2 linked regions of the Macaca mulatta genome follow. The protein of the gene in region 1 interacts with the protein of each later gene in a biochemical or structural test. Links are inferred from orthologs where the notes say so. Each region holds a gene or a part of one and is shown on either strand. Other genes may lie near its edges. The genes, in order: SORBS1 and FLOT1.

Region 1 (15,735 bases):
GCTGAGCCAGGGTGATCACTCACGGCCAGGAGTTCGAAACTAGCCTACACATCATAGGGAGACCTCATCTTGACAGTTAAAAATATGTGTGTATACATATAATATACATATTATAATATATATAATATTGTATTTTATGTATATATAAAATATATAGAAAAATTAGCCAGGCTTGGTGGTGCATGCCTGTAGTCATAGCCACTTGGGAGGCTGAGGTGGGAGGATCACTTGACCCCAAAAGTTCAAGACTGCAATGAGCTATGAACACATCCCTCCAACCTGGGTGGCAGAGTAAGATCCTGTCTCAAATTAAAAGAAATTTGAGCCTGTCTCAAATTAAAAGAAAAAGGAAAGCTGGGGAAGAGAAGGAGACTCTAAAGTGATGGAAAAAAGAAAATCTATCAAGGAAGAAGCAAAAGTTAGCAAGTGTTAATTGCAAGGGAAAGATAGCCCTTGAGTCCTCAACGTTCCAGCTCCTCCTCAAAATGGCCCTTCTCAGAAGGCTCTGAGCATGGTTTGTCCTCACCGATAGTCCTGCCTGCTTGTAGGTAGAAGAAGATGGGAACAGGTAAAGGCGCTAGGGCTGCACACTTACACATGTACTTGATACATGCAAACAGAAATGCACCATGGGTGGAATAACCGTGGACAGAGGCAGGCAAACTCTGCTCAGTGAGCCTGCCTCCCTTCTAGAGCAAACTCTGACAAGTGCGTTAGCATCCCCCGGAGGGCTTGGTAAAATACAAACCCTGGATCCTATCTGCAAAGTTTCTGATTCTGCGGTGGGGCCTGAAAATTTACATTTTTAACAGTTTCCCAGGTGATATTGGTGATACCAGTTTAGAGACCACATTTTGAGAATTACTGCCCTAGAAGTTGACTGATGGACTTGAAAAAGTAGAGACCAACACATCCCAGGTGCACCACACTGTGTCAAGGCACTTCAGTCCCATTCAGTAGGACTGGGGTGACCACTGGTTCTGTGTAAGACCCTATGGGAGGCAGAAAGAACTCTGTCTGTGTGCCCTTGGGGAGCTGACAGTGGAAGAGTCTCCCTCTTACACAGTTATCTCTGTCCTATAGTAAGTAATACAATACTGTGAAAGCCAGAGGAGGGAAAGATGGATTCAGTCTTGGAGCTACAGGGAGATAAAGAGGGAGAGGATGCTGCTTTGTATAACTACCAGTGACTCACATACACGTCTCAAGAGTTTAATGGAATCAGTGAATTTTAACAGGCCTTCAGTGAAAAAAATCTCACCACCCCCCATTATTAACCTAAGTCCACTTACAAATTAATCATAAACTACAAATCTTTATAATTATATTGATTTAATTGATAGGAGATACTGTTTTGACAGAACTCAGTTACCAGAGTGTGAATGTGGTGCTGCTTTGGTATAAATTTTTTAAAGTTCACACAGCTCTACAGCTGGGTGACATGAGGTAACCTACTTCCTTGTGTTTTTCTATTGGAATCACTGTAAAATTCGTATCCTTATAATTTTGGTCATTTAGTTTTCTCTTGTAAACTTGTCATTTATCATTAACCCCACATCCGTTCTTTTCTTGTTCACCTGCAACTGAAATTATGCCCTTTGGTTACAGACACAAACACAGGTATTGAAATTGTGTGGCTTTAACTTGATTATAAGGTGATCATTCGCGTGGCCCCAGTATGTATGGTATAGATAGGTAGATAGATGGAAACATCAATGTGAAAATGCAAACTTTAATACCTGCGGAAGGCTAGGCACAGTGGCTCACACCTGTAATCCCAGCACTTTGGGAGGCCAAGGCAGGAGAACTGCTTGAACCCAGGAATCTGAGACCAGCTTGGGCAACATCGTGGACCCTATCTGTACAAAAATTACCCAGGCTTGGTGGTGCGTGCCTGTAGTCCAGGCTACTCAGGAGGCTGAGGTGGTAGGATCATCTGAGCCTGGGGAGTCAAGACTGCAGTGAGCCATGATTGTGCCACTGCACTCCAGCCTGGGCAACACGGCAAGATGCTGTCTCAAAAAAAAGAAAGAAATTCCACAGCCAGGCGTAGTGGCTCACGCCTGTAATCCCAGTACTTTGGGAGGCCAAAGTGGGCGGATCACTTGAGGCCAGGAGTTAGAGACCTCCCTGGCCAACATGGTAAAACCCAGTCTCTACTGAGAAATACAAAAGTTAGCCAGACATGGTGGCACATGCTTGTAGTCCCAGCTGCTCAGGAGGCTGAGGCAGAAGAATTGCTTGAACCTGGGAGGCAGAGGTTGCTGAGACCGTGCCACTGTACTCCAGCCTGGGAGACAGAGCAAGACCCTGTCTCAAAAAAAAGAAAAAAAAGAAAAGAAAAAAGAAATTTCAGAGAGAGGAGGGGATAGGAGGGGGTTCAGTTGAGGTGTAGCAAATAGATTTGACTGGAACAGGAACAGTGTAGTAGAGATAAAGGCAATTCGGTTAAGAGTAGGGAGAAACTACCCAGAGGCCTTCACCTATGGCAGGAATTGAGATTTGAACTGAGGGAAAGTTGAGAGCAGCAGCCAACTTCAAAGCAAGGAAGAGATGTGAGGAAGAATGTTAGGAATGTTATTTGTGCTCCCGGGTGACAGATTAGAGTGAAGAGAATGTGAAATCAAAGGAAGCTTTGTGTCAATGGGAACTAGGCGTCAGCTTTGAGCAACAGGGTTGCGGAGGGATGGAGGTGTGGAGGGAGGTCCCTCCTGACTTAATGACACACTTGATCAGGAAGTGGAGAAGGGGCGGAGGCTGACTCGGACCTGGGCATCTGGGAAGAGAGGACTACCCAACAGGATTGGAAGTCTTGGCAGGAGTCATTTGAGCTCAGGGACCACTTTATCTGGCTTTTTGGATGAGGTCACAGACCGTAAGAAATATATGGAGTTGGAGATGATGTGAGAAGTGAGTCGGCGTTTCATCTACTTGCATATCATAATTTAAGCAAATAAATGTACCTAAGGAATAAGACAGTAGATAAGGAACATCTTAGGACTTCTGGCTGACTTTGTCTTTTGTTTGTTTGTTTTTTCAATAGCCATGGTCTGCATGTTTTGAGGAACTGGTACCTCAGCTTTGGGACCTTTCTAACCATCTCTTCCCCAGATCTGGTTGTTTTTAGGGGATTCTCATGCATGACATACATAGTTAACTAAACATTTATCTAGTATTCTACTAAGGTCAGACAAATGTAATTTTGCCCAGATTTCTACACTAGAACAAACTGGCTAGAGTGAATTTCTCTGCTTTGCTTTCTAGAAATTTGTGAAAATGTGTCCTTGTTGTACCTGAATCCTGATTTTAACTTGTCATTGTTTCTTATGTTCAGATGAGACCTGCCAGAGCCAAATTTGACTTTAAAGCTCAGACACTAAAGTAAGTGCTACCAGTTATATTTATTTATCTTTTTAGCTGTCTCTTTGAAACACAACAGTTTGTTTGTAGAGAAGAGTTGGAGAAATAACAATTATCAAAATTGTTGTTAAAAAAAAAAAAGAACAAAACAGTAGTTCATAGAGTTTGCTATGTGCCAAACACTATTCAGAGTACTTTGCATATGTTAACTCATTATGGAGTGGGTGCTGTGATGATCCCCACTGTTCAAATGAAAAGGCCAAGGGACTATAAGGTTAAGGAACCTGCTCAAGCTGGTGTGAGAGAGTTGGAATTCAAACCTAGGCAGAGGTTGGGCTCTTATACCCTGTCCCACCCTGCCTCCTCCTATGTAGGGGCTCTATTTGCTTATGTGGTGGCTTGATCTGACCCATCTTTTCTGTGGAAGGATCTAGACCAGTCTCTAGGGAGATAACTTTACCCATTTTGCTACAACATCCCAAGAGATTAAAGGCTTACATGAACCCACCGGAGACTAGCGTTTCTCTAAGTGTGTTCCTCAGAGTGCTAGCCCTATAAGATTTTTCTCAAAAAGGGAGTTCTGTTGTAGAATGAGTTGGGAAACAGTGCATGCTATATCTATACCTCCCACCCACTTTGAAGAAATACTTTGTTGATGGCATGTTAATAGCTCCAGAAGTCTTTCAAGAAAAGAACCTGAAACACGATTTGGGAAATGCTACCAAAGACTGGGTTCCATAAGGAAACAGCTGGCTTTTTATCTAATTATGGATTTAAATAGTCCATGAGTTCTCATTGGCAGCTAAAAGTACAATGGACAGTGGCCACCCCATTGTCCTGCAGATGGACGGTCATGCATCTGGTGATCAGAGGGAGAGCTCCCTGTCCTTAGATGCTGGGAAATGCTATGTGGAGCTAACCAACCATGGTTCTGATCTCCTCTATCCCACAAAATGAGTGACCAGGCCACAGTGTCTAGAACCTAGTCACAAATCTGGTATAGTTGGGTTTGTGTGTATTACTCCAGTCCTTTAGTTGGTCAGCTAAAGGAGGTGGCTGCGTACCATACTGCAAAGATTGCGAGCTTTAGAGTCAGGAAGTCCTGTGTTCAAATCCTGACTATGCCACTTACTATCTCTGTGAGTGTAGTCAAGTTATCAACTTCTCCCCCACTCAATTTTCTTTATCTGCAAGATACGGGTAAAAATGCCTCTCTTTCAGGGAAGCTGGGGTAATACCTGTAAAACATTTTGCGTAGTGTACCAAAATTTAGTGCTCAAAATATATTATCCTCTTACCCCCCTTTTTTTAAACCAGACAAGATAACAGAGATATATAAATTAATTTGCAATTTAATTAATACACTTTTTCTTTGAATTGAGAAAGGTCTATGTAAGATTTATTAAATGGTCTAGTGATGATAATAGTACATTTTCCCAGATTTCATAAAGAGTCTTAAAACAACTTTTTTTTAGAGCAACCCCGTCAAATAGAACAGGTGAGAAAGCTTAGATCCACAGAAATTGTCACCTTTTATCAACATTGCTAATGCCGGAGAGAGGTTTCCTTCCTTCTGATTCCGTGTTTTCATCACGACATGCTGCCTCCAAAAAAAGTCCACAAAATTTAGTGAAAAAAGTAAATTCTAGCTCCATGGTCTTTTAAGCCCTTCAGTCACTTGGTTTTACATTTCCCCGCAGTCAGTTACTCAAAAAAGCATGCTGCCGGGGCCAGGCGTAGTGGCTCATGCCTGTAATCCCAGCACTTTGGAAGGCCGAGGCTGGCAGATCACTTGAGGTCAGGAATTCAAGACCAGCCTGACCAACATGACAAAACCCTGTCTCTACCAAAAAATACAAAAATTAGTCGGGGCGTGGTGGCAAGTGCCTGTAATTCCAGCTACTCAAGAGTCTAAGGCATGAGAATTGCTTGAACCCAGGAGGTGGAGGTTGCGGTAAGCTAAGATCACGCCACTGCATTCCAGCCTGGGGAACAGAGTAAGACTCCGTCTAAAAAATTTTAACAAATAAAAAAAATAAAAAAAATAAAAAGCATGTTATGGAATACTTGGTTCAACAAAGTTAAACAAGTTTCTTTCCCCTGGGTCTTCTCAGAGCCTCTGCTGTGCTGATGTACACTGTGATGCTCAAAAAAAGATCTAAAGCGAATCATATTTCTCAAACCCTCTCACCAGCAGACCTGGTCGCATGGTTCTTTGGGAGCTAGGAGTATAGTCCACAGTAGTGGCAGAATAGGGCCCCAGGTTTCCCATGGTAGACTTCCATCAGCCACAACTACTGACCCCTCAGTTCCTCTCTCACACACAAGTGTATCCTTTGCTTAACAGTAGGACCATTACGCTCCCGCCCCCCTCCACAGCTGCAAGATACTTAGTATAGTAGAGTCAGGAGCCTGCAGGTCTCCACAGCAGTGAATATGCTGAGGGTCTTGCTCATCTATGTGACTGTGGTTGGGGGTAAAGGAAGAGGGAATTCATAATGCCCGCCAAAGAGGGCTGTGGCAAAAATGTGGCCCGAGACATTCCTTCTCACAGAGACAAATGCCCACATCCCCTTTACAGACCTCTTGAGGGTTAGAATCCTGTTTGCTAATGTGAGACCCACAAAGGCTGCCTTGTGCTTTTATTCAGCACAGAATTGACTTTCTATAGTTTTCCAGATGTGCCCTCATTGTTCGGCCAGCACCCCTCACATACCGTGGGACTTCCTGGCATCCTGCAAAGTGAGCACACCCCTTCCAAGTTACAATTGGAGACTTTTCCATCCTATTGGTTTGACACAAATGAAAAAGATCTAGGTCATTTTTTTTAATTCAAGAAAATGTTACAATTTTAAAATTATTTAATTCAAGAAAAAGTTGTAAGGGCCAGGCGCAGTAGCTCACGCCTGTAATCCCAGCACTTTGGGAGGCCGAGGCGGGCGGATCACCTCAGGTTGGGAGTTCGAGACCAGCCTGACCAACTTGGGGAAACCCCATCTCTACTAAAAATACAAAATTAACTGGGCCTCGTGGCCCATGTCTGTAATCCCAGCTACTGGGGAGGCTGAGGCAGAAGAATAGCTTGAACCCGGGAGGCAGAGGTTGCCGTGAGCTGAGATCACACCATTGCACTCCAGCCTGGGCAACAAGAGCAAAATTCTTGTCTCAAAAAAAAAAAAAAAAAAGAAAACGTTCTAATTTTTATCCTTAAGTTTTCATTTTGTTTAAAATTTGCCTTTGTCTAACTTTTTTAAAAAAAGAGTCCTGGTTAAAAATTAACATCATCTGGGCCAGGCGCGGTGGCTCACGCCTGTAATCCCAGCACTTTGGGAGGTCAAGGCAAGTGGATCATGAGGTCAGGAGTTCAAGACCAGCCTGACCAACATGGTGAAACCCCGTCTCTACAAAAAAAAAAATTAGGCGGGCATGGTGGTACATGCCTGTAGTCCCAGCTGCTCGGGAAGCTAAGGCAGGAGAATTGCTTGAACCTGGGAGGTGGAGGTTGCAGTGAGCTGAGATTGCACCACTGCACTCCAGCCTGGTGACAAAGTGAGACACTGTCTCAAAAAAAAAATAATAATAATAATAATAATAACATCATCATTATTAAGGCAAACAAAAGAATGGATATGGAAAAGTTGCAAAGGGGCACAAAGAGCATTTGAAGGAAAATCTACTTTTCTTTCCAACATCACTTTTCCATGTTAAAAAGCAAAGGAATTAGGCCGGGCGCGGTGACTACATGCCTGTAATCTCAGCATTTTGGGGGAGACTGAGGCAGGAGGATCACTTGAGCCCAGGAGTTCAAGACCAGCCCGGGCAGCATGGCAAAACCCCATCTCTACGAAAATATATATGTAACAATTGGCCAGGCATGGTGGTGCATGCCTGTAGTCCCAGCTACTCAGGAGGCTGAAGTAGGAGGATCACTTGCGCCCAGGAGGTTGAGGCTGCAATGAGCCGTGATCATGCCACTTGCACTCCAGCCTGGGCAGCAGAATGAGACCTTGTCTCATGAAAAAAAGTAATGGAATTAACATTTATTTATTGAGTGTTACCTACCTGTACAACAGGCACCATCCTAGCTGTTTATTTTTAGTTTGTTGAAGCATTCTCCAGCAACTCTGAGTTAGCTCCAAGTTCAGCTAAAGAAACAGTGTCTCAGATTAAGTATTGTGTCCCTGGTCCCAGAGCTACTAAATTTCAGAACTGGGTTTTGGACCAGATCTGCCTAACTTCAGAACCTTTCTACTGCATGATGATACAAAGACGGATGGTAAAATGGATGGGTGGACAAATGGTGAAATTGATGGAATGATAGAAGGATGCCAATATATCACAAATAATTTGAGGGCAATTTAAAGCAACGAAAGCATGTCCTGCTAGGGCATAGTAGAGGATAGTGAAGGTATCCAGAAGGAGACGCTTTTCTTCGTTTAATAAACATCAGTTAAGGCAGCTGAGTGCATTGTTGTGTGTTGCATAAATATTCTGAGCATAAGACAACATTCACAAAAAATGCATTTAGAAAACCACAACAAATTAATAAGGCCTCTGAGCACTTTCAAGGGCTAGTCAATTTGAATGTTAACATCCATCCTGCAAAAGACTGGAAAAATGCCAAACGTGATGTAATTTCCTGAATAGTGGGGTTCTTACTTCCAAATATGGAGTCCCCTCTCTGGAATTTGTACCCTTTGACCCCACTTAAAAGTCTTCTTTTGCTACAAAACTGAAGTGTCTTAATCTTACACATACTGAAACATCTGCTAAAATGCCGTTGACCCTCTGTCGACAGGGAGCTTCCTCTGCAGAAGGGAGATATTGTTTACATTTATAAGCAAATCGATCAGAACTGGTATGAAGGAGAACACCACGGCCGGGTGGGAATCTTCCCACGCACCTATATTGAGGTACCGCAGCCCCTTTTCTTTCTAAGGAAAAGCCTGACTGTGCCCAAAGCACCATTTATTTACTAAATGCTTATGTTTTGTTTCCTCCTTTTCCTCTTGTTTCCCTGCTTTCTTCTCTTCCCTTGTTCTCTTTTACCTGTTTCCCTTTCTCAGCTTCTTCCTCCTGCTGAGAAGGCTCAGCCCAAAAAGTTGACACCAGTGCAGGTTTTGGAATATGGAGAAGCTATTGCTAAGTTTAACTTTAATGGTGATACACAGGTAGAAATGTCCTTCAGAAAGGTAAGCTGCCCTTCTCATGCCTTGCTTTGGGGCTCTCTTGGATGGCACAGCTATGTGGGGAAGTGTGGTGTTGCTATCACATCCCAGTCTGGGGGTGCTATCTGTACCCTTAAGAGAAGTATGCTAATCAATAATTGCATTAAGGGCTGGGCACGGTGGCTCACGCCTGTAATCCCAGCACTTTGGGAGGCCGAAGTGGTTAGATCACTTGAGGTCAGTTTGAGACTAGCCTGGCCAACATGGTGAAACCCCGTCTCTACTAAAAATACAAAAATTAGCTGGGCATGGTAGTGGGTTCCTGTAATCCCAGCTACTCAGGAGGCTGAGGCAGGAGAATCATTTGAACCTGGGAGACAGAGGTTGCAGTGAGCTGAGATTACTCCACTGCTCTCCAACCTGGGCAATAGGGTGAGACTCTATTTCAAAAAAAAAAAAAAAAGAATTGCATTAAGGCTTGTAATCCCAGCACTTTGGGAAACCAAGATAGGAGGCTCACTTAAGGCCAGGGGTTCAAGACCAGCCTGAGCAACATAGCAAGACCCCATCTCTATTGAAGAAAAAAGCTAAAAGAATTGCATTAAGGGCAATTGGAGAATTTTCTGAGGTAAGGTATTTTTAAAATAAACCCTAGGCTAATGTCAGGGTTTAACTGTATTGAGCTCACTGATTAAAGATAGTATTTCTGGAGTCTTAGACATCTTTTATAAGCTGTTTTCAACCAACACTTACCAACTAATGATGTGATAATGCACTGTGTTGGGGACTGGGTTTTACAATATATTGGTGTGATCTAGTGGAAGAAACAGGTGCATTGATACCAGGAGAAGTTTGAAAAGCTTTGAACCCAAAAGGCACAAACCAGCTGTGCAGAATGTGGGAGTTAAATACTTTTTCCAAGCCACTATTTTCTTATAGAAAATAATGAAGATAGATGGCTCTCCCCTAGGTGGTTGTAAGAGACTTAGGTGAAACAGCTTATGTGAAGCCCCCAGCATGACACATGGTATCTGGTTTGTGCTTAGTAAACAGGAGATGCCAGTATTATTATCATCACCGTCATGCTTATTCAGACGCAATTACACTGTGCAGAGAAGTTCTTCTTTCCAGAATCCAAACACTCTACCTGGCAAAATTCTCTGGCTTCCTAAAGTTACTAAGTTACTGATTTTATTGAGGATTGAGGGAAGTGAGCACATGGGTTAGAAAAAGATGAACCATCTTATGTAACACTGGAAGCAACCCAATTTGCCCCACAGCAGGGGATCAGTAATTAAATCATTATATGTGTGTGCAACAGAATACCCTGCAGTGGTCCATTAAGCTGTGCAATGCCATTAAAAATCTAGAATTCTATTTTTTGATAAAGAAGGAGGTTTACTATGTACTATTAAGTATTTTTTAAAAAGCAAGTTGGAAAAGTTTGGAAACACAGTTTATACTCAATTTTTATAAGAAAAAATATGTGAGGTTTAATTCACATGCGTAGAAGTAAATCTGGGAAGTCCATATGCCAAATATTAATAGTGTTTATCCCCAAATGACTATGTGATGGGTGAAGATTGTTTTCTGCTTTATGTTTGTGTTCTGATTTTTCTATAATGATACATTATAAGTATTTATAATTCTACAAAAGAAAGAAAAAGAGAAACCCCCCAAAATCTTTGCCTTAGAGATGAAGATTGGATATCTGTTTCACATTAAATGAGTCAAAAACACTATATTTGTTCCCTGGCTTAGGGGCACAAATCTGATGTTCTCCTTTACTAAAATACTTAAAGAACCAAGGTAAACTTCCCAGCATCAAGGTAGCTCCTCTGCCATTAGCATCCTCATCCCAGTGGTGGTAATTCCCTCCGGGTTCAGCAGGGAATGTTTTTGCTGAGCTAAGAATGTGGTAAACAATGCAGGACATTGAAGCATGCAGGCAGAGGCCCCAGGCATGCAGAGGCATGCTAGGACAAGGACCCTGTCTTTGCTGTGTCTTCCAGGGTGAGAGGATAACACTGCTCCGGCAGGTAGATGAGAACTGGTATGAAGGGAGGATCCCAGGGACATCCCGACAAGGCATCTTCCCCATCACCTACGTGGATGTGATCAAGCGGCCACTGGTGAAAAACCCTGTGGATTACATGGACCTGCCTTTCTCTGCCTCCCCAAGTCGCAGTGCCACTGCAAGCCCTCAGGTATCTAAGCTTCTCGTCACTGGTTTTCATACTCAGCGTGTGAGTTTTCTTAGTCAACAGTGCTGTTGGCACACAGCCTCTCTGGGGAGGTTTTTGAGCACTGCAATTAAAAACTGTCTGCAGGAGGCCGGGTATGGTAGCTCACACCTGTAATCCCAGCACTTTGGGAGGCTGAGGTGGGTGAATCACCTGAGGTCAGGAGTTCGAGATCAGCCTGGCCAACATGGTGAAACCCTGTCTCTACTAAAAATTCAAAAATCAAAAAAAGATGGCGGGCGCCCATAGTCCCAGCTACTCGGGAGGCTGAGGCAGGAGAATTGCTTGAACCCGGGAGGCGGAGGTTGCAGTGAGCTGAGATCACGCCACTGCACTCTAGCCTGGGCGACAGAGTGAGACTCTCAAAAAAAAAAAAAAAAAAACTGCAGGAAAGCAGACTGTACACTGGACTTTGTCTTCATGCATACAAATGGCCTTTTCCAGTGCTTGGTTGAAGATATATTATCTCAGAGGAAAAGAAAGAGTCAGATAATTGCTCTGGGAATAAAGTGACTAGGGAAAGAGAAACAAGAGCCTTTATCAGTTGGTCCCTCCTGGGTGAAGCTGTTGGTGTGGGGACCACCGCTGTGTCATAAATCCCATGGTCCAAATGTGGTCCTCAGTCATCTTGGCCAAAGTTGGCCTGCAGAAGACAAAGGCTGAAAGAGAGACTTACACCTTCTTCTCGTCAGCCACGTAGACCAGGTCCAAAGTGTTTGCATTCACCGGAACCAGGTTGACTGGAACAAGTAACTTATAGCATTCAGTCTCAGTGGGCTGAAAGGATGTAGGTTTATAGGCATGGTAAGATGTTGGCTCTCCCAAACATTAATTATGAATAAACTTGTTTAGAAACATAAACTATTCCAAACTGATCCCCACTTTCCCAAAGCCAAGAAAATGTCAGAACCTTGAGTTCAGGGTGATATGGTGGGGGTGACATCCTGTGAAAAAGTCCAGCCAAACCACCATGTATGTTGTAAGGAGGTTGGCAGAGGAACAAGAGTAGGACCTGGGGGCCCAGGTTGACCCTGAGATGATGCCTCTTGTCTAGTCCTCTAATTGTTTCCTCCTCTGACACCTGCTCATCACTGACCCCAGTAGAGGGTTCTTGGCAGAAAGCATTAAACAGGCTGACCCAGGGCTTCCTGCACAGTGACAGCCGCATCCTGTTGTCTTATAAGACAGGGTGTGTGACTGGGGCGGGACATTCTGCTTTGTAAGGATGCAGAGAACTCAGCTACATTTTTCACTTGACTGTAGCCAAGAGTGATTGTAAAACAAAACTAGTACACTACTCATACTCCTTTCTGGAAGACTCTGCTGAGCTCCCAGAGAAAATAAAACCTCAGGGAAGGGCCATGGCAGTGCGGGGCCACCTTTCCCCATGGTTCCGGGTCAGGGATCTGGATGCACAGGGGCTGGGGGGCTGGGATAGGGAGCTTCCAGTGGGTCCCTTTGAAACTCCAATTCTGCAAAGCAGGCTGGCCTCATCCGTCACTACTCTGATGGGAACCTCTCTCCATCTCCACACCTGTGGCTGCTTCCTCCACCCACTGCCTGCACACATCAGGCTCACGTTCGCACATGCTCACACGCACACTCACCCATCCTGGTTTCTCCCCAGATGTAACCCAAGGATTTCCTTTTTGGACACCAGAGTGTCCTTGCGCATCCTCTCCATTTCATTCCTCTTTATATACCCCTTGTGATTATTTTCCTTCTTTTTCCTTTATGCTGACACTTGTACCTTTTGCTTCTTTCTTTTGTTTTCCTCTCTCTTCTTCTTTTTAAGTTTTCCAGTCACAGCAAGCTCATCACGCCAGCACCCTCATCTCTGCCCCATTCCCGCCGAGCCCTGTCCCCTGAGATGCACGCCGTCACCTCTGAGTGGATCTCGCTGACTGTGGGGGTCCCAGGCAGGCGTTCTCTGGCCCTGACCCCACCCTTGCCTCCTCTGCCAGAGGCTTCTGTCTATAACACTGACCACCTCGCCTTGTCACCAAGGGCCGGTCCCTCCCTGTCTCTCAGCCTCCCCCATTTGAGTTGGTCAGATCGTCCCACCCCACGGTCAGTAGCTTCTCCACTGGCCCTACCTTCCCCACACAAAACCTACGCCCTAGCACCCGCTTCCCAGGCCTCCCTTCACATGAATGGAGACGGTGGTGTCCACACGCCATCTTCAGGCATCCACCAAGATAGCTTCTCGCAGCTGCCACTGGGGAGCTCTGATAGTGTCATCTCCCAGCTTAGTGATGCCTTTAGCAGCCAGAGCAAGAGGCAGCCATGGCGCGAAGAGAGTGGACAATATGAGAGGAAAGCAGAGAGGGAGGCAGGCCAGAGAGGCCCTGGCGGACCCGAGATCTCTAAGAAGAGCTGCTTGAAGCCTTCAGACGTGGTCAGGTGCCTGAGTACTGAACACAGACTCTCAGATCTCAACACCCCTGAGGAGAGCCGGCCCGGCAAGCCCCTGGGTAGCGCTTTTCCAGGAAGTGAGGCTGAGCAGACAGAGCGGCATAGAGGTGGCGAGCAGGCGGGGAGGAAAGCTGCTCGGAGAGGTGGGAGCCAGGTAGGACTGCAGCATGCCGCGTGTGCACTTGGCGTCTCACTTGGCAGGGTGGGCTGCACGTCTCGCCCCGGTCCATCTACGGAGGCCAAGTGAATGCTGGTGAGACCATTTGCTTGCCTCGGGAGCAAAGAGATGGCCCCGGAGGGAATGGGGGGACATGAATTCAGGTGCCAGGGCTGGATACAGTTGGAGGGAAAGGACAGGCTGTATCTGACCACTTGAGGTCATTCGGAAGTTATCTCTACTTTGAATGCCTCCTGGCCTGCTGCAAGGGCCTCTGAGAAGGCAGACCTTCCTCACGTCCCACGTATGCCTTGGAGATGACCCTCGGTTTGCTTTGACTAACACAGCTGAGAACACCAGGCTTTGGTGTGGTGGTGTGGTTTGCTTTTATGTAAGATGCACTTTGTTTCCATAACCCATGGTGCTCTGCTAGTGCTCGGTTCTGTCAGGTCTTTGTCCTGTCTCGTGTTTGTGTGGGCGCGCGGGGCCTTTGTTTGCCACGCAACAAAGGTGTTTTGGTTCTGGAGAGGAGAATGCAGGTCTCCTGGGGCCCTGACTGGCATGGGGTATCCTTGAGTAGGCATGCCAGGTTTTTGGGTGAGTGTCCCATCTTCTCTCTGGGTCAGCTACAAAGAGTGCAGCATTTGGGCAAAGGTAGCCTTAGGGTGTTTTGAGACCTGAAAATTTTTTTGGAGACATGAAATTAGCAACTAAACAAATCACAATTCTGATTTTGGCTATGCTGTTTACTACTGCTAAAGTCAAAGACTTAAGCAACTCCTCTGAAGCAACCAGGTTTGAATGCCAGCTCCACCTCTTACTGTCTAGTGACTTGGGAGTTACTTCCGCTCTCTGAGACTCAGTTTCCTCATCTGTAAAATGGGGATGATAGCACCTACGTCAAAGACTGGTTGAGTACAAGGGCTTATGATCCTGGGAACATGGTCAGCACTTTATAAATGGAAGTGATAGAGCCACCATCTTGGGTGATCTAGAACTGCTTCTAGAACTGAGAATATTCTTAGAACCTCCTTAGATCCAGATCGAGTTCCTGAAGATGTCTGCAAGCCATTTATTAAGTATCTAGTATGTATGATGTCCACAGTAAATAGTGCTTAACCCTTAGACTTGCAACCTCAGTTTCCCTTTGAGGCTGTAGTTATTCCGTCTATGAATAAGACCTGCAGGTAGCAGCCTCTGGGCAGAGTACAAGGGTCATTTGTCTCTCCTCTTGAGGACCCTAAGTTCAAGCCTCCTCAAAACAAGGAGGAGCCTACAAACATAGCAATACCACCAGGGCAATAATAGAGGCATGCTTGGGGGACACAGGAGCACAGGGGCTTGAGACACACTAGGCCAGACTTCCAGCTCCAGCCAAGCACATGTGGGCCCATGGGTGGGCCAGCACATCAGGAGTAGAGATCACTGAGGGTGAGCCAGGATGGGGTAGTTTATAAGAAATGAGGCTTAGTCTTTTGCTAGAAAGCCATTTAACCTCTCACATGCAAAATAGGAGTGGAAGCAGTCTATCGCTTGTAGGGCAAGGATTCAATGAGGTAATTAACGGAAGTTGGTGCTTGGCACGTGCCAAGGCTCCATATGTGGGATCTCCCGCTGCTGTGTGGGGCCGTAGGAAAGCAGCAATACCTGGCAAAGGCTTTGCCTGGCCCTGGAACAGGTTGAGGAAAAAATAGAAGAGGTGGTAAAGTGGCTAGCTGAAAAGAATTAAACGTCTCTGACACAGGAATAATTCTATAAACGTTCTAAGTCAACCCAAGGCACGCGAGGACATCCTTATCGTCAGTGTTGAGTCATCATCCCGGCCCAATTCCAAGATCCTGTGTGTATAGGAAGTGCGCACGGTGCCGGATCTCCGAGTAAGGTTAGGGGTATACGCTTCCTGCTTCCTAAGGCAGGATAGGAGTGGAGTAGCTGGCAACACTGAAGATTATGTTGATTGGAAAGTCAGGCTTGTTGAAACTTGGTGTTCCTTTCTTGGTGGGTCTCCAGACCCCAAGTGTACCACTTCCTGTCCCCTCCCTTCCTTCTGACCTCCTGGCACAAGCCCCTTTTCCATGGGTGTGCCCAGGCTGTGGCCTGGGGCTCGCTCCCCCTTGAGAGCTGGCATTTGTGTGAAAAGGGCTGCTCCCGCACCTCCCCTTTAGCCGCCTCACTTTCCCCTCCTGTGGCTGGAGCAGGAGCTGACAACTCTGGAAACGGGGTCCTTCAGAAGAGGCTCCTGTGTCTTGGGCCCCCTTTGGGTGACAGACATGCTAAAAATGGGAAGGACTTATATGACAACTGTTCTCTGGCAGCCCCATCAGAATGACGTGACCACAGGCTGTTGCTTATTTGGAAAAATGCATTCCAGACCAGTTTGCGTATCAAGAGA
Region 2 (15,735 bases), on another chromosome or scaffold:
CTCGTGCCTGTAATCCCAGCACTTTGGGAGGCCAAGGCAGGCTGATTGCTTGACCTTAGGAGTTCAAGGCCAGCCTAGGCAACATGGTGAAACCCTGTCTCTACAAAAAATACAAACATCAGTCAGGCATGGCGGCTCGGGCCTGTAGTCACAGCTACTTGGGGGATGAGGCAGGAGGATTGCTTGAGGCAGGAGGATCGCTTGAGCCAGGATGTGCAGGTTGCAGTGAGTCGAGATCACACCACTGCACTCCAGCCTGGGTGACAGCGAGATCCTGTCTCAAAAAAAAAAAAACGAGAAAAAAAAAAGACCAGGAGCGGTGGCTCATGCCTGTAATCCCAGCACTTTGGGAGGCCAAGGAAGGTGGATCACAAGGTCAAGAGTTCGACACCAACCTGGCCAACATAGTGAAACCCCGTTTCTACTAAAAATACAAAAATTAGCCAGGTGTGGTGGCACGTACCTGTAGTCCCAGCTGCTTGGGAGGCTGAGGCTGGAGAATTGCTTGAACCCAGGAGACGGAGGTTGCAGTGAGCTAAGACCATGCCATTGCACTCCAGCCTGGTGACAGAGTGAGACTCCATCTCAAAAAAAAAAAAAAAATTCAAGAAGGGATATGATCAGTAAAGCTGGTCATATGTTTGGAGCAGACTGTGTCTGTGCAAGGGTATCTGACTGAGAAAATGGATCCGAGCTCAGATCCGGCCCATGCCCCTCTAATCAAGCAGTGCTGACATGGGTCTGCATCTACACAGAGGAATTTCTAATTTGCACAGAGGCATGCTGTGGGCTAACAGCAGCCCTGGTTAATCAAAAAAGGGTATGAAGAAGGAAAACATGGACTTGGACATTGAATCCTGCAAAGTGAGATATGGGCAGCCCTTGATATTGCCAGGAGATATAGTTGATCTTCATTCTTCATTATTTGTATCTGAGAATTTGCCTATTCACTAAAATGTGTTGGTAACCTCAAAAGGTTACCAGTAAAGTCGCTGCACTTTCAGAATCATTTGCAGACACGCACAGAGTGGTGAGATAGCTGAGCCACCTGATGTGCAGTGCCCAGGTGAGGTTCAGCAAGGAGATGCTCTGCCGCCTTGTTTCAGCTCTCATATCATAAGCCATGTTATTTTCGCAGTATATTTACTGCCATGTTTTTTGCGTTTTTGTGCTTTTTCTTGGTGATTTCGCTCTTTAAAATGGCCCCCAAGCATCAGTACTGGAGTGCTGTCTGGTGTCCTGTAGTGCAAGCAGGCTATGATGTGCCTTATGGAAGAAATACATGTGTTAGGTAAGCTTCGTTCATGCAGGAGTTGTAGTGCTGTTAGCTGTGAGTTCAGTGTTAATGAATCAATAATATAGTTTACATAAGGTGTCTTTAAACAGAAACACATATAAAGCAAGGCTTTATATTGATCGGTTGATGAAAATGTTGTGACCAGAGGCTCACAGAAACCTAGCCCTGTATTTCTTCTAGGAACAAATTAGGTACTAATTCAGCATTCATGACTACTTCATAGAACAGAACTACCAAGAATAATGAAAGTCAACTGTACTTTGAGACCTTTACCCAAAGGATAGCAATGTTATGCATTTTGTTTTTGCCAAGAGTTGGTACAGGCTGAAAGCATTATGAAGGTACAAAACATCTTTTGTTATTATGTTAAATTCCTGGGTGACTTGACAGGTTGAGCATGGCATAGAGCTTGGCAACTCAAACTGTGTTCTACCTAGCAGCAGCTACAGCATCATTGCAAAGCTTGTTCGAAATACAAAATTGCAGGCCCTGGCCCTCATCAACTGAATCAGAACCTGCATTTTAACAAAATCTTGAGGTGAATTCCTAGGTGATTTGTATGCACATTGGAGTTTGAGTTTGAAAAGGATTACCATAATGGAAACTGCTAGCTTGCAGTAAAGCTATGGATAAGGTTCTTAACCTTCTAAACATGACCTTACTTGTCTGCAGATTAAGAGATTGGGCTGGTTGGGCTCTTTTCAACTTTTATCAGTTTCTTCTTACGCACCAGGCACTGTGCTAGGTGTTCAGGAAAGGATTTATTCAACAAATATCTGTTAAGTGCCTCCTGTGTGCTAGACATCATTTTGGAGGTGAGGCTGTAAATACGAATGAGACAGAAAAGATTCCTGCCCTTATGCAGCTTACATTATGACACAGGAAACAGCTAGTAAGCAAGTAAATGACCTTCCCAGGCTATAATTCTTGTTTACGTGCTGTGAAGGAAATAAACAGGGTGATGTGAAAAACTGTGGGAGGGGAGTTATTAGGTTAGCGGGTGGTCAGAGAAAGTTTCTAAAGGCCAGGTGCGGTGGCTCAAGCCTGTAATCCCGGCACTTTGGGAGGCCGAGACGGGGGGATCACGAGGTCAGGAGATCGAGACCATCCTGGCTAACACGGTGAAACCCCGTCTCTACTAAAAAATACAAAAAAACTAGCCAGGCAAGATGGCGAGCGCCTATAGTCCCAGCTACTCGGGAGGCTGAGGCAGGAGAATGCCGTAAACCCGGGAGGCGGAGCTTGCAGTGAGCTGAGATCTGACCACTCTACTCCAGCCTGGGCTACAGAGCGAAACTCCGTCTCAAAAAAAAAAAAAGAAAAAAAAAGAAAGTTTCTATGAGGAAGTGGTGTTTGAGATCAGACCTGTAGATAAGAAGGAACAGAGTTCTGGGCCAAGAACATTCTAGCCTGTACTTTTTAAGTAGTCATATGTGGCTGGGCGCGGTGGTTCATGCCTGTAATCTCAATACTTGGAGAGGCCGACACAGGAAGATCACTTGAGGCCAGGAGTTTGAGACCAGCCTGGCCAACATGGTAAAACCCTATCTCTACCAAAAATACAAAAAATAGTAGCCGGGTGTGGTGGTGTGAGCTTGTAATTCCAGACACTCGGGAGGCTGAGGCATGAGAATCACTTGAACCCAGAAGGTGGGAGTGAGATCGCGCCACTGCACTCCAGCCTGGGTGACAAGCGAGACTCCTTCTAAGATAGATAGATAAATCGATCGAGACTCTGTCTAAGGTAGATAGATAGATAGGGCTAGTGGCTAGGCAGGAGGACCAGTAAGTGCAAAGGCCATGAGGTGGAGACAGAAAGGAGGTTTCTGATCTGAGGAGGCTGGTGTGCTGTGAATGAGGAGGAAAGGCTGACGGCCAGATCACAAAGGGTTTGTGTGGTCATGATGGAGACATAGAAGAGAATTGAAAGCACAGTGGAAAGCTATTGGAGAACCTCAATCAGAAAGGTGCCATGGTCTTATTTATATTTGTATAGGGATCAGTCTGGTTGCCTTGTGGAGAATGGACTGTATGAAGAGAGGAAGCAAGGCCAGGCGCGATGGTTCACGCCTGTAATCCCAACACTTTGGGAGGCCGAGGCGGGCAGATCACGAGGTCAGGAGATCGAGACCATCCTGGCTAACACGGTGAAACCCCATCTCTACTAAAAATACAAAAAATTAGCCAGGTGTGGTGGCGGGCGCCTGTAGTCCCAGCTACTCGGGAGGCTGAGGCAAGAGAATGGCATAAATCCGGGAGACGGAGCTTGCAGTGAGCCGAGATAACACCACTGCACTCCAGCCTGGGTGACAGAGCAAGACTCTGTCTCAAAAAAAAAAAAAAAAGGAAGTAAGAGATGAGTTGGGCTCTTTTTCAGAGATGATGGATTAAACGAATGTAGCTAATTTTACTCTCTCCTAAAACCTCACTAAAGCCAAAATGATTTTTTTTAAGATAAAGACAGAGGCTGGTCCAAAGGTAGTGAGTTATCTCAATTGATTGTTCAGTCAGTTACAGATTGAACTCCTTGTTCTGCTCTTTACCTACTTCTCACTACTGCACTTGACTAGTCTTTCTTCCTCTCTTTCCTTCTCTCTTCTCTCCTCTCCTCCTCTTTGAGACTGAGTCTTACTCTGTCCACCAGGCTAGATAGAGCGCAGCGGTACAATCTCAGCTCACTATAGCTTCAACTACGAGGCTCAAGCGATACTCCCACCTCAGCTTCCCGAGTAGCTGGGTCTACAAGCATATGCCACCACACCTGGCTAATTTTTGTATGTTTTGTAGAGATGGAATTTCACCATGTTGCCTAGGCTGTTTTCAAATTCCTGGGCTCAAAGGATCCTTCCCACCTCAGCCTCCCAAAATCCCAGCATTTTGAGAAACTGAGGTGGATGGATCACTTGAGATCAGGAGTTCAAGATCAGCCTAGCCAACATGGTGAAACCCTGCCTCTACTAAAAAAAAATACAAAAATTAGCCAGACGTGGTAGCATATGCCTGTAGTCCCAGCTGCTTGGGAAGCTGAGGCAAAAGAATAGCTTGAACCTGGGAGGTGGAGGTTGCACTGAGCCAAGATCACGCCGCTGCACTCCAGCCTGGGCAATAGAGCGAAACTCTACCTAAAAGAAAAAAAAAAGAAAATAAATAAATCTGCTTAAATAAGAGGAATTCTATGAATACACACATTCTTGTAGATGTTCAGAGTATCCCTGGAAGGATACACAAGAAGCTGGTCTGGGTGGCTACTTCTGGGAAAGGGACCCACGTGGTTTGGAGAATGTAGGAAGAAGCTTTCTCGTGGTTTACTTTTTTTTCCTGTTAAATCTGCACCATATGCAAAAGACAAAAAAGATCACGTGTCCCCACCCCCACAAAAAATAAGTCAGCTATTGCAGTAGCCTAGGCTAGCACTAAGGTTATTCTAGCAACAGTGGGGGGATTTGAGCAAGACTGGAGATAACAGAAGGCCACCATGTGCTCAGTGCCCTCCAGGTATTTATACTCTAGAAGGGGGCACAGGTGGGAAAAATAGATTAAACAGGAGCTCATCAGAGGAACACTGGACTCCACTGGGCTGGCCAAGCAGGAGGGGACCCACCTTCATGTACCTGCTCCTATTTTTTTTTTTTTTGGGAGATGGAGTCTTTTTTTATTTATTTATTTATTTTGAGTCTAGTTCTGCCGCCCAGGCTGGAGTGCAGTGGCGCGATCTCGGCTCACTGCAAGCTCCACCTCCCGAGTTCACGCCATTCTCCTGGCTCAGCCTCCCGAGTAGCTGGGACTACAGGCGCCCACCACCGCGCCCGGCTATTTTTTGTATTTTTAGTAGAGACGGGGTTTCACTGTGATCTCGATCTCCTGACCTCGTGATCTGCCCGCCTCGGCCTCCCAAAGTGCTGGGATTACAGGCGTGAGCCACCGCGCCGGGCTGGAGATGGAGTCTTACTCTGTTGCCCGGGGTGAAGTGCAGTGGCGTAATCCCGGCTCACTGCAACCTTCACCTCCTAGGTTCAAGCAACTCTCCTGCCTCAGCCTCCCAGGTAGCTGGGACTACAGGTGTGTGCCACCACACCTGGCTAATTTTTTGTATTTTAGTAGAGACAGGGTTTCACCATGTTGACCAGGCTGGTCTTGAGCTCCTGAACTCAGGCAATCCACCCTCCTTGGCCTCCCAAAGTGTTAGGATTACAGGCGTGAGCCACCGCGCCCGGCCACCAGCTCCTATTTTTATATCCCACTCTGGAGCTCTGGTTCCGGGGCACTTCCTCTTCACTTCTGACTCAGAGCGCCCCTCCTACCCAGGTGGCCAAGACTAAGCAGCAGATTGAGGAGCAGCGGGTGCAGGTGCAGGTGGTGGAGCGGGCCCAGCAGGTGGCAGTGCAGGAGCAGGAGATCGCCCGGCGGGAGAAAGAGCTGGAGGCCCGTGTGCGGAAGCCAGCAGAAGCTGAGCGCTACAAGCTGGAGCGCCTAGCCGAGGCAGAGAAGTAAATGTCCCCTTCCTGACCCTTCCTAGCCCACTTGCCACCTAGGCACCCCAAGATGGAGGGCTGAAGCCTTCACCACCTGGACTGCTATGGATTTTAGGTTTCAGGAACCTCTGCCTTTGCAACACTGAGTCCCTGGGCTGCACCCTCCACTTTCCTTCTGTCCACAGGTCCCAACTAATTATGCAGGCGGAGGCAGAAGCTGAGTCGGTGCGGGTGAGTTAAGATGCAGCTCCTGCTGGCTTGTGGAGAGGGTGGGGGTTGCTGCTTGAGCTGGGATTTCTTGTTCTTAATGATTTCCGTCAATCTCACAAGCATCCTTAACCCTCAGATGCGTGGGGAAGCTGAGGCCTTTGCCATAGGGGCCCGAGCCAGAGCCGAGGCTGAGCAGATGGCCAAGAAGGCAGAAGCCTTCCAGCTGTACCAAGAGGCTGCTCAGCTGGACATGCTGCTAGAGAAGCTGCCCCAGGTCTGGAGGTTGTGTGGGCACCAAGAAAAGAGGAAATAGAACCAGGGACTAAGGGGTGGGGTGAAATGAGGGGCTTAGGGAGAACCAGGCTAGGGGGACCCTAAATTAGGGGTGGGAATTATTAGTGGCCAAAGTAAGGAAGGATGACCAATGGAACGAGGACCTTAAAACCCAGGGTAAGTTGTTTTATGAGGAGTGTGGTCAGATCATGGGCACTGAGTGGGCATCTCTCTCCTGCCAGGTGGCAGAGGAGATCAGTGGTCCCTTGACTTCGGCCAATAAGATCACACTGGTGTCCAGCGGCAGTGGGACCATGGGGGCAGCCAAAGTGACTGGGGAAGTACTGGACATTCTAACCCGCCTGCCAGAGAGTGTGGAAAGACTCACAGGCGTCAGCATCTCCCAGGTGAGGTCTCAGGTTGGAGCTGAGGAGCAGAATTGCTAGGTTCCTGTGTTGTATAACGCAGCAGGCGTAGCATTTCGCCAGCATCCAGGCCTGGGAGTCACTGATGTTTATTAATCACTTTCTGTGTGCCAGACACGGTGCTAAGCTTCTACATAAATGAGTTGTTTTATATACCCTTAGGGTATATAGGGTTTTACAAAGTCAAGAAACTGAACTTCCAGCATGTTCCTACTCATTCTGCTGGTGCAGCTGGAGTGAAATCTAGGTCAACTGTCTCTGCAACCTGTGCTTGTGGTCACCCCACTAGTATAGGGAACTAGTTGCAGCCTATTGACAGTTAATTAATTCCAGGGCATATCACTGCTTTTCTTGGTTCCCCAGTTAATTCACCTGTAGATCATGGTCGAGGTCAGCAAACAGGCTCTGGAACCACTGTTTTGTTAATCCTAGCTACAATGCCTGCTAGCTGTGATCTTGGACAAGTAATCAACCTCTCTATACCTGTTTCCTCACCTTAAAATTGGGTTAATAATTAGAAACTACCCTGTTGAATTGTTGAGGGGCTCGAGCAAATATTTGCAGTGTTTAGAATAGTGCCTGGTGTATAGTAAGCATTATGTGTATGGTAAAGAAATGGTGCCGGGTGCAGTGGCTCATGCCTGTAATCCCAGCACTTTGGGAGGCCGAGGTAGGCAGATCACCTGAGGTCAGGAGTTCGAGACCAGCCTGGCCAACATGGCGAATGAAACCCCATCTTTACGAAAAATGCAAAAAAAAAAATTTGCCAGGCTTGGTGGTGTCTGCCTGTAATCCCAGCTACTCGGGAGGCTGAGGCAGGAGAATTGCTGGAACCCAGGAGGCGGAGGTTGCAGTGAGCTGAGATTGCACCACTGCACTCCAGCCTGGGTGACAGAGCAAGACTCTATCTCAAAAAAGAAAAAAAGAAGCCAGGCACGGTGGCTCACGCCTGTAATCCCAGCACTTTGGGAGGCTGAGGCAGGCGGATCATGAGGTCAGGAGATGGAGACCATCCTGGCTAACATGGTGAAACCCTGTCTGTATTAAAAATACAAAACAGCCAGGCATGGCGTTGTGCGCCTATAGTCCCAGCCGCTGGGGAGGCTGAGGCAGGAGAATGGTGAGAACCTGGGAGGCAGAGCTTGCAGTGAGCCAAGATTGCGCCACTGCACTCCAGCCTGGGTGACAGAGCGAGACTCCATCTCAAAAAAAAAAAAAGAGAGAGAAAGAAATGCATATTTGGACTGGGCGCTGTGGCTCATGCTTATAATCCCATAACCTTGGGAGGCCAAGGTGGATGGATCAGCTGAGGTCAGAAGTTTGAGATCAGCCTGGCCAACATGGTGAAACCCCATCTCTATCAAAAATACAAAAATTAGCCGGGTATGGTGGCGCATACCTGTAATCCCAGCTACTCGGGAGGCTGAGGAAAGAGAATCACTTGAACTCAGGAGGCGGAGGTTGCAGTAAGCCAAGATTGCACCACTGCACTCCAGCCTGGGTAACAGACTGAGATTCCATCTCAAAAAAAAAAAAAAAAAAAAAAAGCATATGTAAATAAAAGCCCTGGATCATACCGATGACCTTCAAACTGGGTTCCTTGGAGCCTCCTGGAGGCCTGCAGTGGAATATTCATAGCTAAGGAGAGTGCAAACAAGGCTCTGCCCCTTCTCTTCTCTTGAGTGATTTATTGTATGTGGATCCTGATGTCTTTGTTTAGGGAAACAGGATGAGGTAAGGCACCAGAAAGAAGACTCCTGGCCGTGTGTGTTCTCCCTATAGCCCATTCATCTAAATGGGGGCCCAGGAGAGCAGGGGCCTCAACCTCCCAAATGTTCCCAAGTGTCACCTGCTGTTGTCTTTTTGCCAGGTGAATCACAAGCCTTTGCGAACAGCTTGAGCCTTCAGCCCTCACAGATGCCCAGCCTCATAGCTGAAGTTGCCTGAATGATCCTCCTGTTGCATGTAATCCACTGGCCTCCCTGAGCATGTCCATTGACAGTGAGGTCCCACCCCTCATCTCTCCTTGCCAAATAGTTTGTGCCTTGTCTTGAAGGGGGTTGCTCCCCTTGCCAACCTCACACTGCTATGATTGCCAACTCCAGTGGTCCCATGTCAGCCTTCTGATGATCCCACTCCACCCCATCTCAACTTATTTAATTCCTAATTAAATCAGACTGTTGGAGCCTGTTGTCTAGAATACTTTCCTGACCAAGACTGAAGGATGTGCTGGAGGTTTTCAACTTTGCTACCCAAATAAATTGCTATAAGTAAGTACTGATACTTATCAACAATTAATAAAACAGAAGCAACTGGAAATGAATGCTTGGCCCGGCATGGTGGCTCACATCTGTAATCCCAGGACTTTGGGAGCCCAAGGCAGACAGATCATCTGAGGTCAGGAGTTTGAGACCAGCCTGGCCAACATGGCGAAACCTTGTCTCTACCAAAAATACAAAAATTAGCCAGGTAGGGTGGCACGTGCCTGTAGTCCCAGCTACTTGGGAGACTGAGACAGGAGAACCACTTGAACCTGGGAAGTGGAGGTTGCAGTGAACCAAGATCACACCACTGCACTCTAACCTAAGCAACAGAGTGAGACTGTTTGAAAAAAAAAAAAAATGAATGCTAGAGTCAGGTGTGGTGACTCTTGCCTGTAGTCCTAGCTACTTGGGAGGCTGAGGTGGGAGGATCACTTGAGCTCAGGAGTCTGAGGCTGTAGTGAGCCGTGATCGTACCACTGCACTCCAGCCTGGGTGACAAAGCAAGATCCTGGCTCTATTAGAAAGAAAATGAACGCTAGAATGTAGCTTCCTCCTTTGCATAAAATAGGCTTTCTAGAATGGGAGAAAAGCAAGTTACTTATATACTGTCAAGAGTTTTAGAGTTAATTTTTCCCAACAGTGTATTATAGTCAGAAAAGCATGCTAAAATAGAAGGACTGTTGAGAATAGTATTAGTTCCCAGAATTCCTGAAAATATGGCAAAAGGAATTATTGTTTTCAGGGTAGCTTTGAGACTTGCATTGAGAACTTAAAAGTATGAGGTATGAGGTAGCAGATGGTACAGATTGTTTTAGAATGGGACTGTAAGGTAGCATTCCCGACTGTCTTTTTTTTTTTAAACACAGGTCTTGGGCCGGGCGTGGTGGCTCATGCTTGTAATCCGAGCACTTTGGGCCTGGCACAGTGGCTCATGCTTGTAATCCCAGCACTTTAGGAGGCTGAGACGGGTGGATCACTTGAAGTCAGGAGTTTGACCAGCCCTGGCCAACGTGGTGAAACCCCATCTCTACTAAAAATACAAAAATTAACCTGGCGTGATGGCGGGCGCCTGTAATCCCAGCTACTTGGGAAGCTGAGGCAGGAGAATTCCTGGAACCCCGGAGGCAGAAGTTTAGTGAGCCAACATCGCGCCAATGCGCTCCCCCCGGGCAACAAGGCAAGACTCCATCTCAAAAAAAAAAAAGACAAGGTCTTGCTGTCACCCAGGCTGGGGTGCAGGGGTACGGTCAGGGCTCATTGCAGCCTCACCCTCCCACCCAACCCCCACCCTGGCCAACAACCACCACCCCCTACCCCGGTAGATGGGACTACACGCATGCGCCACCATGCCCAGCTTTTTTTTTTTTTTTTTTTGGTTAGATGGTTCACTGTTGCCCAGGCTGGTGCGGAACTCCTGGGCTCAAGCCATTCTCCTGCCTCGGCCCCCCAGTGCTGGGATTACAGGTGGGAGCCACCATACCAGGGCTTCACTAGTTATCTTGGTGTCACAGGTTGACTAAGCCTATAGGATCACAAGAAACGGCCGTGGGTACACATAACCCAAAGGAATCCTGGGCTGAGTGGCCAAGGCCAGTTCAACCATTTCTGGTTCAGTACATCTGGGTGGGACAAAAAACTTCCATTTATTTCTGCAAGTTTCCAGAGGATGTGGATGCTGGTCTGGAAACCAGTTACGCATGACTTGTCATTCTTCTCAGCTTCCATTTTCCAGCCCTGGATCCTGTATCTAAGCCTATGCCTTCCCCAGTTAAGACTCATTGGTGGACCTGGTGCATTGGCTCACCTGGCTCATACCTACAGTCCTGCTGCTTGGGAGAATGAGGATTGCCCGAGCCCAGGACATCAAGGCTGCAGTGAGCTGTCAGACTCCATTAAAAAGACTGACTGGTGCTGAGAACAGTTTGGGTACCAGAGATAATGACGTGAGGGTCTATTCAGTAGTGTCCTTACCAGTACCTCCCTGAAATATCAAATCGGCAGACGCCCAAGTCCCTCATATAAAATGTAGTATTTGCATATAACCTGTGTACTTTAAATCATCTCTACATTACTTGTAATACCTAATCTAATGCAAATATTATGTAAATAGTTTATACTATTATTGTTTAGGGAATAATGAGAAGTCTATATATGTCCAGTACAACTATTTTCCCAATATCCAGTTGGTTGAATCCATGGATGCAGAACCCATAGATGGGACAGGAACTTAATATTGTGAAGTGTCAATTTAAGGAGAGCAGTGCACCTGAACTCAGGCCCCAGGCCTCCATCAGCAGTGTTTCCCTAAATAAGCACACATCTCGTAGCTTTTTTCAATTCCCATTTATTTTTGGCTCTTGGGGCGATGTCATCTTTTCAATATGAAAAAAAGCAGCAAGTTCAACACAAAATAGAAATCTCAAATGTAGGAAAGAACAAAACTAAGTGTGTGTGGGGGGAAGCAACAGCAAAATGAAGAAATGAGATGTTGCAAAAAAAGATGGAGGGTTCCCCTCTCCTCTGGGGATTGACTCAAACACTGATGTGGCAGTATACACCATTCCAGTCAGGGATGCTTGTTCTTTTTGGGGGATAAGAAAAGATGGGGATTCAGAGGACGTTTCTGGAGGCTTAGGGACCAAGGCTGGTCTCTTTCCCCCCGGCCCTGCCCCCGCCCCCGCCCCCTTGATGCCTTTCTCTGATCAGGGGAAAGGAGTTCGAATGAGGGAGGTAGAGTTGGAAAGGGAAGGATTCCACTTGACAGAGTGGGTCAGACCCCTCCAAAGAGTAGAGCTTGGAGGGAGATTGAAAGTGGAGATAATACTGCTGACACCTCCCTTGAAGCTGAGATGGTAAATGGACATACTTGGAAATTAGTGACTTTAATAGCCTGGATTTCCCTCTCCAAAACTTAGAATGGAAAATCCCATCCCCTCCCTTATATAGTGACTTCTACCCACTACCTTCTACCACTTTCTACTTTGGGCTTAGGATGGTGGCCATTATCTACATGGGTTTTCAGCACCTGGTTGGTTCTAAATGGGATCTGGATGAGACCCAGCGTCTTGGAGATTTTTAAGAGGGAAATATTAACTGGACAGATGGAAGGAATGGGCACCAGAAGGAAATACAGGGTCACCAGAATGGCAGAAACCTAGGTTTCCCAGAGTGGAAAGAGAGAGGAGACATTCAACAAACAAGTATTTATTGAGTGCCTACTATGTGCTAGGCACTGTTCTAGACCCCCCCCCCCAGAAGAAAAAACAAAAAACAAGATAGAGGCAGCAAACACAAATTCTGAGGGAGAGGAAAGGGGCAGTTGAGTAAGACGGCTAAGGGAACTGAGAAGCCTGAGGTGATGGGGGCTCTGCCTTAGGCCTCCTCTTCGGCCTCCTCACCGAAATCCTCCTCCTCTTCTGCGGTGGCATCCTGGTACTGCTGATACTCAGAGACGAGGTCGTTCATGTTGCTCTCAGCCTCAGTGAACTCCATCTCGTCCATGCCCTCGCCTGTGTACCAGTGGAGGAAGGCCTTCCGGCGGAACATGGCAGTGAACTGCTCCGAGATGCGCTTGAAGAGCTCCTGGATGGCCGTGCTGTTGCCGATGAAGGTGACTGCCATCTTGAGGCCACGAGGTGGGATGTCACAGACAGCTGTCTTGACGTTGTTGGGGATCCATTCCACAAAGTAGCTGCTGTTTTTGTTCTGCACGTTAAGCATCTGCTCATCGACCTCCTTCATGGACATCCGACCACGGAAGACAGCAGCCACGGTGAGGTATCGGCCGTGGCGGGGGTCACAGGCAGCCATCATGTTCTTGGCATCGAAGACCTGCTGGGTGAGTTCTGGCACTGTAAGAGCTCGATATTGCTGGCTTCCACGGCTGGTGAGAGGGGCAAAGCCAGGCATAAAGAAATGGAGGCGTGGGAAGGGGACCATGTTGACTGCCAATTTGCGGAGGTCAGCATTGAGCTGGCCAGGGAAGCGGAGGCAGGTGGTGACACCGCTCATGGTGGCTGAGACGAGGTGGTTCAGATCCCCGTAGGTTGGTGTGGTCAGCTTCAGAGTACGGAAGCAGATATCATAGAGGGCCTCGTTGTCAATGCAATAGGTCTCATCAGTGTTCTCTACCAACTGATGGACGGAGAGGGTGGCATTGTAGGGCTCAACCACGGTGTCAGATACTTTGGGTGAAGGAACCACACTGAAGGTGTTCATGATGCGATCAGGGTACTCTTCTCGGATCTTGCTGATAAGGAGAGTGCCCATTCCAGAGCCTGTGCCTCCACCCAGTGAGTGGGTCAGCTGGAAGCCCTGCAGGCAGTCACAGCTCTCTGCCTCCTTCCGTACCACATCCAGGACAGAATCAACCAGCTCGGCCCCCTCTGTGTAGTGGCCTTTGGCCCAGTTGTTACCTGCCCCAGACTGACCTGGAATGCAGTCAGGAGAAAAGCTCAATTAACAGGGTATGGAAGATACATGATGTTTCCATCTTTCAACTTTAGAAATAATTCCCTTGGATGTATCTTCTTTCTCCTTCACTGTGATGTATTCTCCCCCCACTGCCCCATAATGTACCAGCAACAGCAGGCACTACCTCTACCCTACCTCTACCCTCCATTAGATTTCAGAATACAGTTCTTAGCACTCCAGTACAACAATCATCTCCTAACTTTTGCTGTGTCCTTGCACCCAAATAAGTTGAACACGATAGTATATCATCTGCTAATATCATCTGTATAACTTACCAAATACAAAGTTGTCTGGTCTAAAGATCTGGCCAAAAGGACCTGAGCGAACAGAGTCCATGGTCCCAGGTTCTAGATCCACCAGGATGGCACGAGGAACATATTTGCCACCTACAAAGAATAAAGTTAAGAGCTGTGAGATCTGGCAGAGGGAAAGGTTTATAGATACACTGGGAATGGAAGACAGCAGGGACCCAAGACTTGTTCCAGGTCCTGCCACCAGGTGGCAGCAGACGTCTTTGGCCCCGACGGTGGTTCACAAAAGGGAGAAAATGATAGATTCACCGAAAGGGGATAAGGCGTGCCAGGAATGGAAAGAGACCCCAGAGAAGTGGGAGACAGGGAAGGGGAACCTGAGCTGCCCGGGCTCTTGCCCTTACCTGTGGCTTCATTGTAGTACACGGAGATGCGGTCCAGCTGCAGGTCGCTGTCCCCGTGGTAGGTGCCGGTGGGGTCGATGCCATGTTCATCACTGATCACCTCCCAGAACTGCCGGGCAGGAGCAACGAGACCACAAGTCAAGTCCCAGTCAACTACGTCCCCAACTACCATTTTATTTCATCTTTTTCTTAACTTTTTTCTTTTTTTTTTTTGAGACGGAGTCTCGCTCTGTCGCCAGGCTGGAGTGCAATGGCGCTATCTCGGCTCACTGCAACCTCTGCTTCCCGGGTTCAAGCGATTCTCCTGCCTCAGCCTCCGGAGTAGCTGGGACTACAGGCGCGCGCCACCACGCCCAGCTAATTTTTTGTATTTTTAGTAGAGACGGGTTTCACCATGTTGACCAGGATGGTCTAGATCTCTTGATCCGCCCACCTCGGCCTCCTAAAGTGCTGGGATTACAGGCGTGAGCCACCGCGCCCAGCTTCTTTTAATTTTTAAGACAGGGTCTTCCTCTGTTGCCCAGCCTGCAGTGCAGTGGTGCAATCACGGATCACTACAGCCTGAAACTCCCAGGCTCAACCGATCCTCCCATCTCAGCCTCTCGAATAGCTGGGACCACAGACGCGCGCCACCACACCCAGTTAATTTTTTTTTTTTTTTTTTTGAAGAGATGTGGCCGGGGGGAGGGGTCTCGCTTTGTTGCCCAGGATGGTCTCAAACCCCTGAGCGGGAGCGATCCCAATTAGCCCGCCTCAGCCCCACATCTCCCATTTTAATCCCACACGCGCTCAGGCCGTTGTTCTAGGGCCTGGCATCCCGTGTGCCTGCCACACCCTTCCCCTAGACACTCGCTCCCCCGGGAAAGCCACAGCTTTCCCGGCTCGGGATTATGTGCAGCGGGTCCCAAGTGCTCGGTGGGCGGATGGAGGTCGACCATACTTGGATAAGCGCCGCTGTTCTTCCCCCGAGCTGGGCACCGCCCCACCGCGCGGCGCACAAAAGGCTCGGGGCACTAGAAGAGCTGCTGCCGCAGTCGACCACCCCCCACCCTCCACGTGACTGCGGCGCACGCGCAGGTCGAGCCGCCGACAAAGGACTTCGCACGTGGGCGGGGCCAGGGGCAAGAATTCCGCGCGAGGGGCGGGGCCCAGGGTAGCGCGCCCCTCCCGGCGGGCAACGCCGCATTGTCCCCGCGCGCCAGCGGCGCCCTGGCCCCGCCCCGCAGGGCCCCGCCCTTCTGCTACAACGTAGCACCCGCACTTCCTCCCGCCCCTCCCCCGCTACACTGTAACCGCGCGCAAAAAAAAAAAAAAAAAAAACCCTTGGCCTCGGAATTTTATTCCTTTGCTAGATTTCTCCCCCTTGATTTAAAGCATTCTTTCTCTCCCATTAAGTCCTGAAGGACTCGTTAAAGAAAACCACACACCCCCATTTTCTCGACATATCAGTTCACGCCCTAAAGAGGTCTCGCTTAGGTGCCATGAAAGCAAGAAAAATTAATCCCGTTCTTATTCTCCTTCCACCCCGGAACAACTACAGGACCGGCCCTCCGGGGTCGCGGGCGCGCTGGGGTCCCTGATCTTTTGTGAATGGTAGCGCCCAGCGCAGCCCACCCTGGCGCATCGCCCCCCGACCTTTGCACTGGAGCTCTCTGCAGCCGCCCGA

What was found.
Region 2: the proteins of SORBS1 (region 1) and FLOT1 form a complex in vitro, tested with the Homo sapiens proteins (2 studies listed by BioGRID). The link is inferred for Macaca mulatta from reciprocal best matches to the Homo sapiens genes SORBS1 and FLOT1.

The regions. Positions count from the first base shown.
Region 1 is NC_133414.1:107,351,008-107,366,742, reverse strand, and holds part of SORBS1 (sorbin and SH3 domain-containing protein 1), read left to right. Parts: intron 1-3,334; coding exon 3,335-3,381; intron 3,382-8,158; coding exon 8,159-8,273; intron 8,274-8,426; coding exon 8,427-8,552; intron 8,553-10,540; coding exon 10,541-10,735; intron 10,736-12,566; coding exon 12,567-13,340; intron 13,341-15,735. UniProt on the Homo sapiens protein: Plays a role in tyrosine phosphorylation of CBL by linking CBL to the insulin receptor. Required for insulin-stimulated glucose transport. Involved in formation of actin stress fibers and focal adhesions.
Region 2 is NC_133409.1:152,309,066-152,324,800, forward strand, and holds the end of FLOT1 (flotillin-1), read left to right. Parts: intron 1-5,602; coding exon 5,603-5,784; intron 5,785-5,954; coding exon 5,955-6,000; intron 6,001-6,115; coding exon 6,116-6,253; intron 6,254-6,494; coding exon 6,495-6,659; coding exon of another isoform or gene 6,660-6,698; exon of another isoform or gene 6,699-6,868; intron 6,869-8,547; coding exon 8,548-8,577; downstream 8,578-15,735. Other genes in the region: TUBB (tubulin beta chain), read right to left, coding at 12,314-13,371, 13,690-13,800, 14,070-14,178. UniProt on the Homo sapiens protein: May act as a scaffolding protein within caveolar membranes, functionally participating in formation of caveolae or caveolae-like vesicles.